4 linked regions of the Saccharomyces cerevisiae S288C genome follow. The gene in region 4 interacts genetically with the main gene of each other region. Each region holds a gene or a part of one and is shown on either strand. Other genes may lie near its edges.

The links.
Region 1: mutations in WHI3 (region 4) and FAA1 together harm fitness less than expected from each alone (positive genetic interaction), as found in Saccharomyces cerevisiae (2 studies listed by BioGRID).
Region 2: mutations in WHI3 (region 4) and REI1 together harm fitness less than expected from each alone (positive genetic interaction), as found in Saccharomyces cerevisiae (2 studies listed by BioGRID).
Region 3: mutations in WHI3 (region 4) and MET28 together harm fitness less than expected from each alone (positive genetic interaction), as found in Saccharomyces cerevisiae (2 studies listed by BioGRID).

The regions. Positions count from the first base shown.
Region 1 is NC_001147.6:907,702-912,159, reverse strand, and holds FAA1 (long-chain fatty acid-CoA ligase FAA1), read right to left. Parts: upstream 2,818-4,458; coding exon 715-2,817; downstream 1-714. Other genes in the region: YOR316C-A (uncharacterized protein), read left to right, coding at 4,225-4,434. UniProt on the Saccharomyces cerevisiae protein: Activates long-chain fatty acids (LCFA) by esterification of the fatty acids into metabolically active CoA-thioesters for subsequent degradation or incorporation into phospholipids.
Region 2 is NC_001134.8:738,293-741,762, reverse strand, and holds REI1 (Rei1p), read right to left. Parts: upstream 1,923-3,470; coding exon 741-1,922; downstream 1-740. Other genes in the region: mitochondrial 54S ribosomal protein mL54 MRPL37, read right to left, coding at 147-464; SLM6 (Slm6p), read left to right, coding at 1,375-1,827; TSC10 (3-dehydrosphinganine reductase), read right to left, coding at 2,219-3,181; Rab family GTPase YPT10, read left to right, coding at 3,394-3,470. UniProt on the Saccharomyces cerevisiae protein: Pre-60S-associated factor involved in the cytoplasmic maturation of the 60S subunit. Involved in the dissociation and recycling of other late pre-60S factors like ARX1, TIF6 and ALB1 before newly synthesized large ribosomal subunits enter translation.
Region 3 is NC_001141.2:382,985-386,098, forward strand, and holds MET28 (Met28p), read right to left. Parts: upstream 1,136-3,114; coding exon 572-1,135; downstream 1-571. Other genes in the region: YIR016W (uncharacterized protein), read left to right, coding at 1-441; YAP5 (Yap5p), read left to right, coding at 1,625-2,362; YIR018C-A (uncharacterized protein), read right to left, coding at 2,580-2,717. UniProt on the Saccharomyces cerevisiae protein: Acts as an accessory factor in the activation of sulfur amino acids metabolism genes. Possesses no intrinsic transcription activation abilities. Binds to the MET16 promoter as a complex with MET4 and CBF1. Enhances the DNA-binding activity of CBF1.
Region 4 is NC_001146.8:266,975-271,340, reverse strand, and holds WHI3 (mRNA-binding protein WHI3), read left to right. Parts: upstream 1-1,747; coding exon 1,748-3,733; downstream 3,734-4,366. Other genes in the region: SLZ1 (Slz1p), read left to right, coding at 170-1,066. UniProt on the Saccharomyces cerevisiae protein: Involved in size control and cell cycle.

The sequences.
Region 1 (4,458 bases), on a different chromosome or scaffold from region 4:
CGTCATTTCTTTGTCCTAGTAAATTTGTTGAGAAAATTTACATAATCTGAGGAACTACAATTTCTAATCTCCAGGCACACCCACCACGTGCCTGTTGGCTGACCGAGACAAAAGTGGAGAAGACAGGCACGCAGAAACGAACGTTTTGCAAGGAATGGATATGCTTCTGGAGCTTCTTCTTCCAGTCTATGCGAGATTGAATGAGAGCGGCTGGTTGCTATGGTTTGTCTTCCATGATGTGTACGAAGCTGTGAAAATGAGTACTAAGGAGTCAGTGCACACCAGGGTAATCAATTTCCCTGATATTTTGTCAACTCAACAAATGAGACAGGGTCCATCTCAGATCAGGACACCTCTGGTAATGCTTCTTATGTGAGGTGTCTTGGCCGAAATTTATATATATATATATATGTATCACTAAGCTCCTAATTAGACTGCCATGCGGCAGTCAACGTTACCTTTTTTGAAATGTAGAAAAATTTAGTTATTTTTTAGGATGTTCATAAATATATCTATATATGCCATTTTTAACATTATAAATTACGAACATACGTGAATGAGGTGATATGACTGGTAAAGAAGAAAAAAGGATAATAACAAACCAAACAAGATAACCTGTGCATTCTATTTTATAATTGGTAGCAGTTCTAAAGCAAAAAACTGAAAAAGTGCTTTAGTATGATGAGGCTTTCCTATCATGGAAATGTTGATCCATTAAGACGAACTATAAACGGCGTCAACTTTATCTTTGACAGCATTCAAAATGTCTTTTCTTTTCAATTTCTGAGCGGACGTAACAAAACCGTTTTGTGGAGTCCATTCGCCGTCAAAGAACACTATGCCTGCTAGTAATTCAATGCCAACCAAACCTTGGTCTTTACCTGTCTTCAAAAGATCAGAATAAACAGCTTTAATCAATTTTGCATCCTCCAAATAATTTTCGATATTAATTGAACTGTCTTTTTGTTCCATAATTCCCAACTTTTTAGCAAGCTTCGTTAATGGAGCATGATTTGGTACAATAATACCAACTGGCTTAGTCTTAGATTGGTCGGCATAAACACAAATGTTAGCAACATATTCGTTAGATCTGTAAACGGACTCTAATTTCTCGAGTGCGATATATTCACCGTTCATTGTTTTGACCAAGTTTTTCTTCCTGTCAATTATTTTCAAATGGCCATTTGCTTCCCATTCACCGATGTCACCGGTCTTGAACCAACCATCGCTTGTTAAAGCTTGAGAAGTTTCTTCCTCATTCTTATAATATTCAGGCGTGACATTGGCACCTGTGATCCAAACTTCACCTTGGTTGTTTTTAGCAAAATAACCTAATTCTTCAACATCAACTAGTTTGACGGTAACACAACCTGTTAGGTCACCAGCGACGCCGAGTTCAAAATTAGCAGGATCCAAGATGGTGGTACTAGCGCATGTCTCGGTTAAACCGTAACCAATAAGCATAGGGCAGATTAAATTTGTGATGAATTCCTGAGCATCCCGACTGATTGGAGAACCACCGTTTAACAAATATCTTAATTGGCCACCTGTGGCAGTTCTGATTTTTTTGAAAACCAAGTTTCCTAAGGCGCCGCCACCAGGGATGTGGAGACGTTGCATGTTCAACTTGGTATTATACGCGGTCCAGAAGATTTTCTTGGTGAGGAAGGGCAAATTATCAATTTGGTTTAAGATCCCTTTTCTCACTGTTTCCCAAACAGCGGCGACACCAACCATGATTGTGGGCTTGAATTCTTGCAAATCACCTTGACAATTTCTCACAGAGCTGCTAGTTAAAGTTTTTACGGTGGCATAACCAATGCAGGCCCCCCAATAAAAGGACAATAGTTCGAAAACCAATTCAAAAATATGAGCTAGTGGCAAAAAACAGATAACACGGTCGGTATTGCCCACAAACTTCAAAACATTCAAACTTGCACCACCAACACCTGCGACAACATTTGAATGTTTCAAGACAACACCCTTTGGCTCACCTGTAGAACCAGACGTATACATGATGCAACAAAGATCATCCTTGCCAGGTGGATGAACATCGATTTCGTTACAGGATTCTTTACCTAGCTTCAAGATGTCGTCAAAGCTAAAGGTCTTGATATCAGGTCTAACTTCTTTAATTCTGTTGATGGCATCATGAGCAGATTGATAGATCTTACCACTTTGCCTCCTGTCCTCAGAACTGATGGAATCGAAATGAATTATGTATTTTACGTCTTGAGCGGCTTGCACTGGTTTGATCAAGGATGGTAATAAAGAGTTATCGGTAAAAATGGCCTTAGACCCCGTTTGCACCAAAGAATGAATTAGCCCTTTCTCTCCCAAAGTATCGTAGGCAGTGACGACAGGAATACCTTGAGACTGCGCTCCTAAGAACATCTTCATCCACTTGTGAGAAGTGGCTGCGTAAAGATGTAATTTGTCATCATCATTAGGCTTTAATCCTATTTTCACCAACCCACGACCAATTTCATGCATGATATCGGTCAATTGGTCAAATGAATTATAATGATAATGCGATAGTTCATAATACATCCATTTCTTTTCCACTGAAGTCTCCTTGCCATCAACTTTTTTCATAACCGATTTGGATTCTTCATGAATTTCCTTAACATCCCTCCAACCCATAGCATTTGAATTTTTGTTCTTCTGAAAGCACTCTAGAACAAACTCATAAACAGTGGAACACTTTGTGTTAGGCGGTCTGACGAGCGGCTTCTCGCGGCATTGATAATTTCTTCTTGGAGCAGTTTCATGCTCATTGGCGGCTTTCCCAACTGGAACGGTATATTGAGCAACCATATTGTTGTCTTTTTTTGTCTTTTGTGTTTGTTCTAGTTTTTATTGTATCCTAACGAGTTTTTTAACAACAAGAACTTTCTATACTTACTAAATATACTACAATTGTCTCACGACAAGTGAGGGGTAAAAGGAAAAAAAGAGAGAAAAATAAGCGGTTAAAGCCTTTTACTTAAAGACAGCGAAGGAGATCTCCAAACATTTTTGTTGTAATATCGATAATACGATATCCGCGAAAGGAACCAAAAAAAGCAAAAAAAAAAAAAAAACGCGCGAGAACAGCCTATCTCTGCTGTCCCGTATGCACAGGGAAGTTCTCCTGATATGCGATGGGTGGGTGCCCCTGTGTCATTCGTATTATATGATGTATTCGTGCCTGTATCATGCATAAATATTCACATGGCGGAGATCATGTTCCTGACAGGGCGTGATCGACTTTACTATTGTCCTTGTCATTCCCTTATGGAAGAATATGACAGGGCTGCATCATCCATATTCTAAGTAATTCTCTTTGCCGCGCTAAGCATGGCTTCATCGCTTGTTAGAAGGCGCATTTGTTATAAAGTTCAGCCGGCTCTATCGGTCCGCTAGCTAGGTCTGTTTACTTTCCGCAGCGTAAGCAGCTGGCAAAGTGGATCGGTCTTACATCTACAACGCAGTGACGTTTCTGATACTTTGGTGACGTATTCTTTTCTCACCGCTACGTTTTCTTCGCCCGCTCCGTGCGGACCGAAAAAAGACCCTCTCCCCTTATAAATTTTGTCAGTATTATAGCAATTGCCTGCGGACTTTCACCGCGCTTAGATCAAGAGGGCATCATGAGGCTACCTACAATTGACATACTAAGTCAAGAAAAATAATAGTGTATCGAATACGCGTGGTAGCTACATTAAATACTAAAGTATGGTTTTTTTTTTTAAGTAGGTTTACTCTTCATATTCTTCATTTTCATTTTTCCTTTTCTTCCCGTTCTTCATTTTTATTCCTAGAAAAAAAAATAAATATGTCTATCGTTAACCTAAACATAAACAAAGTTTAGCCCGCTTATTTAAATGATGCCCAGTACTTTTTTTCAAAACTCATATAATTATATATATCAAGAATGCTTTCCAACCACCGCTTGTATTAAGGTGTAGAAAGGTGGTTTTTGTATTCAAAAAGAGTACAAGCCCATTATAGCTAACTTAACAGTCCACCCTACTATATCCCACGCATATCTGGTTTTAACTTGTGGCGGGCGATATGGAACGAATTTTTCAAAGTTAACCATAGAAAAAAGCATGTGATCAAGGCAGAGTGAACGAGGGAAAAAGAAAGTGTGGAGAAGGCCACCTTTTGAAAAGTTTACCAATCGATCGGTCTCTCAGCACTTTCTACATTTAATCTCTTTATAGTGAACATCGCTGGCTCATGCTGGTTCCCATGCATAACTCACCCACGGCCGCCAACGGCCGCTTATCACTTACTGTCGCCAGCTCCGGTCTTAGAAAGGGTAAAAAAAACCGGGTGTATACTATACACTCATACATCCGCTCACCCGTTTCCAGTAGTGAATTTTCATTTTCTGTACGAAGGCAATATAAGCTGACGATCCGCATAAAGCAGAAGACTCATTTGTAATGCAGAATATCCGTACAATAAAGG
Region 2 (3,470 bases), on a different chromosome or scaffold from region 4:
TTGGTATTCCCCAGGCGAAAAGATATGTGGGAACTATCATGTTTTTGTTGGTACAAAATAAGGCATTATGCTAAAAACATACTATTTAACCACGTACACACATATTTATTTACAAGGATACCAAACTTGATCTTATTAACGGAGGCTTAAAGTTGGCTCAAGAAATTGTTTTGCTTGATTCGCTGCCTGTTCGCCTTCCTTATGTTCTTTCTTCTCTTTAAGAGAGCCTGTCCCTCTGGGTCCTCAGCCGCATGTTCGACAACGTGATCACTATCCAATACGCTCCATAACCAATTTGGATACTCCTTGTCCTCGAGTGCCACTGCGTCTTTACCGCTCTTCCATATGTTTAAGTTAAGCGATGTTCCCGCAGGACACGACGACACCACTGACTTAACCGTGGGTTTATTATATAAGATACGACTGGTCGATATCAACCTGTAACCCAAACTGCGCGCCAACATCTTCAGTCTTCAGCAGCTATTTCCTTTGCTGTAGATATAACTGCTTTAAGAAGCCTATTAGTTTTTTCACTTTCGAGATTTTTGCGCCAAACAAGGGCGCACAAATACCCGGCATCACGCATTTATTATATGAAGAGAATATTAGAACAGGCATTTCAAAGCATGATTCAATGACTATAACATTGCTATAGAGGGGGTAGTGAAGAATTATCTAATGTACAAATGGTGAAGCAGTATATATGCGACAAAATACTAAAAAAAGTAGTGCAAAAAGAATTACTGCAGAAGTTGGTCTCTGTAGTGTGGTTGGTTATTGACGAACTTGGCACTTCTCTTATCGAGCCTTTTCTTGTCGAACCTCTCAGTTTGCCAAACACGCTGTTGAGTCTGCACGCCCTTTTTGTCGAAGGCAGGTAAGAACGATCTCGTCTCTGCAGCGACCAGGGTACCTTGGCCTTCGGTCAGTATCACCTCGGGCTTTAAGTCTTGCTTGTAGTATCTTTGCAAGGACCTGTGGCCAACTTTGATGCCTGTCGGTAGATGCAGCTCTATACCATCGTTATATAAGTACTCTTGTGGCAGATCTTCGTCGTCGCTTCCGGCTTCGTCGCTGCCCACGTCTTCCCAGTCATCTTCGTTGTCTGGTGTTGTGTTGCTATTAAAGTTTGCGTATGAGCTTGTAAAATCGTAGAATTCAGATATCTCCAACCTTTCATCCTCGCTTTCGTAGGGAATTTTACAGTGTCTCTTTGCCAACATGTGCTGTCTTACAGCGGTCAACGTTCTCCCCTGGTAATTACAAACAATACAAATGTTCCCAAGACCAATCTTCTCCGACATGTATTTTACCAAGCCGATCTTGTCGACTAGATATTTCTGTTCTGGGATATAAAACCCGTGGGTCCTAAACATGTGTTCCAGGTTTTCTTCAACATCTTTGAAGTGCTTATTGTGCTCACAAAATAGACATTGTTCCAGTGGAATATCGACTCTGTTGCGTAGCTTTTCTTGCATTACTCTTTCCGCCATTTCTTCCTCGGTCAACTGTTCAGGCTCCTCCTTCTTAGGTTCTTCCTTTTCCTTGTTCTCCTCATTTTCTTGCAAAGAGAGCTTGCTTAGGTCGGGAGTATTTCCCTCTTGGCTCTTTTGCATGTTTTCAAGCATATTAGCCCTGGCAATTTCCAACAGTTTCTTTTTCTTTTCGAGCAATGCTTGCTTTTCCCTTCTTTTCAACTCCTTTTTGGTAACAGGTTTCTCCTTTTCAGCAGACTTACTAGTACTGGCAGCAGCTGCAGACACTTTGGAGTCAAATGTCTCAAATGATATTGGTGGCAATTGTGCAACACGTCTTTTCAAATTGTAGCGATGCCAATCGGACTTCATGTGGGCCCGCTGCTCGTCGCTTGAATCAAAGGTCAGGACACATGAATTACACGTATAAACACCACTGCTACTCATCGTATTGTTACTGATATGCTCTCTTCTTGACTTCTAATGAGAAGCATCTCATAACCTGTACTAAAAGTGGAAAGAGGAAAATTTTTTTCACCTCATCGCATCGGTACCCATAAGAAAAACTTTCAAAATATAGTAAGAAAAGAGAATAAAAATAGGAAAATATCGCCGTGGTAATAATGTTATAATTAATATTTCGTATATACTTATACATGTACAAATAGCTACACCACTAGGGTTTGTCTTGAAAGAAATAAAGAGAGTCACGGGGAATATCGGGAATGAGAGTGGATGTGCTCTCAGTTGGCCTTCTTGCCGTCATTTTCACGAAACCATTTCCTGATATACCAGGAACAGCCAACCATGTAGAATGGCACGACCAGAATGTTTGATAGGACACCAAAAATCCATTGCAACGGAACAAAGCGGCTTTTCTTTGCGGTGAGCCCAAGGTCCATCCCCATTATCATCCATCCGACAAAATCTGTAAAAACGTCATCATCACCTCTGGCCAGCGACTTGGCAATGATATCACATGCTTGTTTGCATGGGATAGCGTCTGAGGGGCCTTCGATCAACTTTGTAATTTCGGGTTTCGTTAGCTGCTCTACAGTGAAACCTTCGCTTTCAAAATTACCAGGATAAACACAACTGATACGGAAGTTCGTCAGTTCTTGTCTTAAGATTGCTACCAGTGATTTGATTGCAGCTTTTGCAGGCGCATACTGGGAATAGCCCACAAATGGGTAAAGCGCGGTGGCACTAGAAAAGATGATGAGGTGGTGTTCCTTGGTTTGCTCTGCAAGGGCAATCTGATGTGCCACGTTCAAAGTTGTTTTATAGTTGATGTCCATACCCAAGTTCAACTCATGTCCGCTTAGCCCACGAAATAACTTAGGAACAGCCCCCCCTGCACAGCATAACGTTTGTGTAGGGAGTAAATCCAAGTCTCTCAGGGCATTGAACAAACATTCCACGGATTCGTAGCAGGACAAGTCGCATGGGTAGTAAAATAACCGTTGCTCAAGGTCCAAGGGCGCAGCCAACTTATGTTGCACTTGGCCCTCGTCAGTGGTTTCCCTTCTCAGGTGAGCTTCAATCCTAATTTCGTTGCATGTGTCCAGCAGTCTAGCCTCTGACCTACTGACGATAATAATCTTTGTGTTTTCAGCCTCATTATAATATTTTTTGGCGAATTCCTTTCCAAGACCTTGTGAACCACCAGTGATCAACACAACTTGGTCTTCTAACGTAAACTTCATTACCTACAAAAGATTATACCGATAACTTCTTTTCTTGAGGCAATCTTATTTAATCGCTTCCAGTAAATGCAGAGAAACTCCTCTGCATTTTTCATTTTTTTGTTTTTTTTTTGTCGTTTATTGTTTTTTAGCCTTACGTTTCACGTTAAGGAACAATGATAGTAAAATTACTCCAGGAAATACAAGTAGCACAAAATACGGAGGAATACGATATGGAAGCAACCATCAAAGTGGTACTGCTAGGAGATTCATCAGTGGGGAAAACCAGTATAGTGACTAGGCTCAAATC
Region 3 (3,114 bases), on a different chromosome or scaffold from region 4:
AGCCCGCGCGTTCAAAGTCGGCGGCACCGTAGTTCTGTGAGCGCAATATCTGCAATCTTACACCAAGGAAAATCTGGCCGCGAAGACATAACTGGAAGCCTTAGCGTTCCGGCAGAACAAGAAAAACTCAGTTTTCTTGCCAAAGCCTCGAGTATTTTCTTTCGAAGGAACAGTATGCCCAGAGACAAACATACGCATTCAGTATGTCCCGCTAGCCGCCCAGATTCCGAGAGATTTATCGTCACATCTGCAGCCGCGCAGTCTTTACGCCGCCAACAACAACTGGAAGACGCTCAGTACGCTCGAGTTATTACAAACTTTCGTACTATAGGATGGTGCTCTCCCAGCGAGATAGAGTCTGTGGAATATAAACGGTCCTTGATCAATGCGGAGTGGGACGAAAAGATCTCGCTTTTGTCTCACGCGCAATGCTATAAATAATAAATATACATATATATATATTTATATGTAGATAGATGTGTGTATATATATGCTAGGTAAAGAAACGGAAAAATCGAAAAATCGAAGTTGGAGAGGAAAAACAAGACATCAGGCCCGCACGTTTCGCGGGCTACCTGCCCATGTTCCGTCTCTTAATGTCATTCAACAATTTCAAAGACTTAATCTCGTTAATGTCATTGAGCTTTGCTTTCCAAAACTCATTTTCCTTGTTCAATTGCTCTATACGATCGCGAAGTTTGTTGATTTGCGTGTTTAAGTTCTGCAGCTTATTCATGTTCTCAAAATTCTTTTGTTTCTTGCGAATGCGGAACCGCTGCGACGCCTCTGTGTTCTTTCTTCTCCGCTCTTGCTTAATCTTATCCAGTTCGTTAGAAGTGCTCACGGGAGCTTCCTCTTCTTTTACAACAACTGCTGTTGTTGCGGCAACCTTCCCCTTTCTCGGCTCGCGGAGCTTCTTAAACTGCGAGACATCCTGGCCATTATTTATCATGCTAATGAGCTCCTCCGCGTTGCCACTGCTAACCAGCAGCAATGATAGCAAGCGCGAGCCCAGCTCTGAATCGCTTGATATCAGGTTCTGTAGATGTTCCGAAAGATTGTTCACGTTCATACCCTTCCTGCTTGCAATGTCAATGTTTGTTGATTTCTTTTCCCACCCTTGTTTCGCACTCATATTGACGAACAAAACAATTTGTCTTCGTAACTACCACTGGTTATAAATAGTTAAATTCAAGTTACCTCGTGTTCTTAGTCATTGGCTGCCCGGCCTTGACTCACGCCAGTGACCTACAACTATGGCGTTTCCGCTTCCCGCCCAAAACTGTGGTGTTAGAAAGTAGAAAAAGGTGAAAAAAGCGAAACCTAAAACCAAAAAAAAAAAATAAGTCACGTGCACTCAGTACCCCTTCTATTGTATTTTAGTTTACCTATTGGGCCGGGCGGGCCCCACAACTGTGGCATCTTTCAGATCATTTTTTTCCAGAATGCATGGAACTGACGAGTGAACTTTTATTCCACGGAAAAGGACAAAAAGGTGCAGTAATGGAATGGTCTTTTTGCACGGCAGTGATGTCGCTATCATATCAATCACTGAAAGTGAAGTTAACCATATTACAACAAGTTCACACAACATAAACAGTGTAACTAGCATATTATCACAGTCATGGCTCTACCTCTGATAAAACCTAAGGAGTCTGAGGAAAGCCACCTCGCTCTTTTGTCCAAGATCCACGTGTCCAAAAATTGGAAACTGCCTCCAAGGTTGCCCCATAGAGCAGCTCAGCGGAGGAAAAGAGTTCATCGACTTCACGAAGATTACGAAACTGAAGAAAATGATGAGGAGCTACAGAAGAAAAAACGGCAGAATAGAGACGCCCAAAGGGCCTACAGAGAACGCAAAAACAACAAGTTGCAAGTGCTGGAGGAAACCATAGAGTCACTGAGTAAGGTCGTTAAAAACTACGAAACGAAACTAAACCGCCTCCAAAATGAACTTCAAGCGAAAGAATCGGAAAATCATGCCCTTAAACAGAAATTGGAGACCCTTACTCTGAAACAAGCCTCTGTGCCTGCTCAGGACCCTATCCTGCAGAATTTGATCGAGAATTTCAAACCAATGAAGGCGATACCTATTAAGTACAATACCGCTATCAAGCGCCACCAGCACTCGACAGAACTGCCTAGCTCTGTCAAATGCGGCTTTTGTAACGACAACACTACTTGCGTTTGTAAAGAACTGGAAACAGATCACCGTAAAAGTGACGACGGTGTGGCCACAGAACAGAAGGATATGTCGATGCCACATGCAGAGTGCAATAATAAAGATAACCCCAATGGGCTCTGTAGTAATTGTACTAATATCGACAAATCATGTATCGACATCCGGTCCATCATCCACTGAAGAGAGAGAACTTCTTAATACTTATAAATACGTCATTGAACAGCTCAACTTTTGTAACGTCAAAAGAACGCACATGAAAGGAGTGACATTGCTTTTTTCTTTGCAAGTTTATTACTGTGGTTATGTGTAAAGAATTAGTTCATGGACATTGGCCGCAGAGTGCAAAAGCGTTTTGGACACCCCGCCTTTGGTGTTCTCGCCGCCATATTTTGAGACGTTAGTTTCCGACGAATTGAGCTGAAGCGGTGGACATTATCTCAAGGTACCGCTTACTATGCCTATACATTCCTGCAATTTTTTTTTTTTTTTTTTTGATAAGTATTACTGGGTAATGGGAAGTATAATCACTAGGCATATTATTTTTGACGCAGAGGAGTGGCAGCCTGTCTACTATGTAAATGTAATGGTAGAACCGTTATTATAACGTAAAATAGATCGTACATAAGAAAAACTGGACGCAAACCATTTAAATCTAAATGCGAATATGCGTACTGATTATTAACATGATACCATAATTTAGATCTTTCCTTTTGAAAGTCGTGTCAAATTCTAGTATTGGCGGATGAGATCCTAATGTGCTAAACAATAGAGATAATGGGATCCCCGCAAATTTCATTTTTAAATTGCTTTCCTCTTCTGAGTTGAACACGAATTTTTGAGAATCTAGCTGTAGTTAGACGTTACGCAAAAGAAGCTTTGGCGCAAGCAAATCTCCTTCCATACTGGTCTCCTTTACGGCTGTACGAACACTA
Region 4 (4,366 bases):
TCAAAGAAGGAGTGCGGGGATGACAATATGAATAGCCGCCGAAATTATGCCCGGCTGCAGTTGACCGTATAAATAACAGTGCTTCAATGAAAGGACACAAAAAGCAAGATCGTCCCATTTTCTACCTTAATCAGTATAGTAAAAATCAAAAACATAATATATTACTGTTATGATGAATAAAGTAGATCAAATCATCGGTTACAAAAAGTACGAAGTGAAACTACCAAAAGATCGACAAGTAAAGAAAAATAAATCAAAAGGTGGAAATGTTGATCAAATAGATACTAAGAGGGAAAAGGATAAAATGAGAGCTTTTGGTGAAGAAAGGAAAAAGTTCTTAGATAAAATGGCTAAAAACAAAAAAAAAAATACAAGTAGAAAAGATAGAGAGAAGCCAAAAGAAGTAGAAAAAGAAAACTACAAAAGAGAAGACAAAAGGCTAAAAGAACAGAAAAAATTATCACTGGCAAAAGAATTTCGTTTCAAAGAACCGAATTCAGAAGCCATTAATCAGAACACAGCAGCTGAAAATGGTAAACCTAAACCACAGACTGGACTAGATTTTGACATAGACCATCAAACCGTGTCCAAGATCATGATAGATCAGGCTATTCAAACATCTAGTCCTCTTAATGTCCAACTCACGGAACTTTTCAATGATAACGTCCTCGACGTCTCGAAAGATAGTCAGTTTGTCCTTCAAGACATGGAGTTCACCTCCTGGGAACGACGCTGGTCAAACTGCAGCACGACCAGTAATGCGACTACGGTCTCATCAGTTCCTGATCCCAAATATAATATCAACTACAACGACATAACCTCCTTCAATTCAGTAGCGCTAATTACCGAAGATCTTAACATATCTGCATCATCTAATGGTCTGCATGAGAGAGGTAAAAAGCTACTGCAGCAAGAGATGGAATACTCAAACAAGGTCAAAAATGTCACCATCGGGCTTGAAAGATTGTGTATGGATGAAAAACCAGTCCCAGATGCAGGAATAACCATGCAACAAGCGTCGCGCTGGTCAGAATTCCCCACTTGTTGCGATCAAGCTGCTATTTAGCTTTTCTAATTTAAAAAATTTATAAACTTCTTATAGTATTTCATCTTTATATCAAATACTATTAGCAAAATAAAAGGAAAGGAAAGGGAAAGGAACTTCTTTAGACTGCTTCGCACTGATTCTATCGCCATCCTTCTTCATGTTCTCAACTATTGGATATCTGCTCTATTTAGAACAATCGTTATTGTTACCCGCGTTAAATGGGGTAACTGATTGCTGCTTTTTTTTCTCGTTGTTTTGGACCTTTTCGGACATGAGAGGTCAAAAGAAAAAACAAACACGACCAAGTAAGCCGGAATAAACAAGTATAACCACCTGATTGAATTGCCTTCTTTAAACAAGCACAGACCTCCAAAAAGAAAAGGCTTTTGAAACGCTGCTCACGCACAGTTGTTTATTCCGTCCACATATTTTACGTGTCAGTTTCCTTTCTGTCTTCTCTTTATTCAATCAATTAGCATTAAAGAGAAAATAAGTCGTGTACTTTGAAAACCTTCTGTTCCTGTTTTCTTCCCGTATTTTTCATTTGCTTCACCAGCTTTTTCTCAACTGATCATATCATTTCAAGTTAAAAGTCTTTGTCATCACTTTTCTGTGAGTTGCAAATATTTGTAAGCGTCACTTACCTAGAGCAGCCTTTATCGATCAATATTTCAGAGGGAAAAACCTGTATCTCTTAGCATGCAAAGTTCAGTTTATTTTGACCAAACAGGGTCATTTGCGTCCAGTAGCGACAACGTTGTGTCTAGTACCACCAACACACACAACATTTCTCCCAGTCATCGTTCCAGTTTGAATCTGAACACTACTTCTCATCCCCACGAAGCGTCGGGTAGAGGAAGCGCAAGTGGGGAGTTGTATTTGAATGACACAAACTCACCCTTAGCGATATCTTCTATGCTAAACACACTTGCCCTTGGAAGTATGCCCCAAGACATTGCAAGCAGCAACATTAGCAATCACGATAACAACATTAAGGGGAGCTACAGCCTAAAATTGTCAAATGTAGCCAAGGATATTACTCTCAGAGAATGCTATGCAATCTTCGCTCTTGCTGAAGGTGTGAAAAGTATAGAATTACAGAAAAAAAACTCTTCATCAAGCATCACTTCTGCCTCATTAGAAGACGAGAATGATATTTTTATCATTGCCAGATTTGAGTTATTGAATCTAGCTATTAATTATGCCGTTATTTTGAATTCGAAAAATGAACTCTTTGGACCCAGTTTTCCCAATAAAACAACCGTTGAAATAATAGATGACACAACAAAAAACTTGGTTTCATTCCCATCATCTGCCATTTTCAATGACACCTCAAGATTGAATAAATCGAACTCGGGAATGAAAAGGCCAAGTCTGTTATCACAAAGATCCAGGTTTTCATTCAGCGATCCATTTTCCAATGATTCTCCTTTAAGCCAACAGCAATCTCAACAGCAGCAGCAACAGCCACAACAGCCACAACAACACTCTACGCAAAAACATTCACCACAACAATGTAATCAACAACAAGTGAATTCTTCAATACCGTTATCTTCTCAAGGCCAGGTTATTGGGTTACATTCTAACCATTCACATCAAGATTTGTCTGTGGAATCAACAATTCAAACATCTGATATTGGCAAATCTTTCCTTTTGAGAGATAACACTGAAATTAATGAAAAGATATGGGGCACAAGCGGTATACCTTCCAGCATCAACGGTTACATGAGCACTCCCCAACCTTCTACGCCAACTTTAGAATGGGGAAATACTTCTGCATCCCAACATGGTTCTTCGTTCTTTTTACCCTCTGCAGCATCGACAGCCATTGCACCTACGAATAGCAACACCAGTGCCAATGCAAACGCCAGCTCCAACAATGGAGCCAGCAATAATGGTGCTAACCAGGCACTCTCTGCCAGCTCGCAACAACCAATGATGCAAATTGGTAACACGATTAACACTTCCCTAACCTCTTCAAATTCATTGCCTCCATACGGTTTAATGTCTTCTCAATCGCAGCACATTTCAAATATGGTAAACACCTCTGATATGAACATTACACCTCAAAAACAGAACAGATTTATGCAACAACCCCAACCAGAGCATATGTATCCTGTGAATCAAAGTAACACTCCTCAAAAAGTACCGCCCGCAAGATTAAGTTCAAGTAGAAATTCACACAAGAATAACTCTACTACCTCATTATCCTCAAATATTACTGGATCTGCCTCGATTTCTCAGGCTGATTTGTCACTACTAGCCAGAATTCCACCTCCTGCCAACCCTGCTGATCAAAATCCACCTTGTAATACCCTTTATGTAGGGAATTTACCCTCCGACGCTACTGAGCAAGAACTAAGACAGCTATTTTCTGGTCAAGAAGGCTTCAGAAGACTATCATTCAGGAATAAGAATACCACATCTAATGGTCATAGTCACGGACCGATGTGCTTCGTTGAATTCGATGATGTCAGTTTTGCAACCAGAGCGTTAGCTGAATTGTATGGTAGACAGTTACCTCGCTCCACTGTGAGCAGTAAGGGAGGTATCAGATTAAGCTTTTCAAAAAACCCACTGGGTGTTAGGGGCCCAAACAGCAGAAGAGGAGGCAGTGGTAACCCAAATCCTAATGTAAATATGCTTTCCAGTTACAATTCTAATGTTGGTCATATAAAAAACTAAAAAAATGGTTCCGCAAAAACCTGATTTCCTTGCATGTATCACATTATATGCATTGCTTTTCATCTTTCCCCCACTATAATAAGAATAATATTTTCTGTCGCATTTTTTCTTTTTCTTTTATTATTTGTTATAATAATATTTTCTAAACCGACTAATAATAAGAATAACATCGATAATACTTTATCTCTTCAATTACGTTAAATTATCTTTTTACTATTACATTACAACGTGCATATAACAGAAATTTTTTCTTTTTCTGTCTAACATTTGAATTGTACTATGAATTAAACCCGCCATCTTTTTTCTTAACTACCATTTTGCGAACTCCTATACCGCTTCTGCAACAACAAGAACTTTTATTTTCAATTTTAATGTGCCATTCATTCCATTTTGCTTGCGCTAATGTGAATAAGATTGAGAGGGAAAAGTCTCACTATCGAATATCGCTCTTTAGTGTGATTATTGTCATCAAAGCACCAAGTGCTTAGGTGAGGTCATATCCGACAAATGTTTTGAAGAGAGAATATCTTTTTTTTATGCTGCCAACTTTTATTCTTTCCTTGTTTAAAAAACTCTGCCTTTGGATATTCTCCCACTATATATATGTATTAGCCTTACTTTTATTCCAGAACT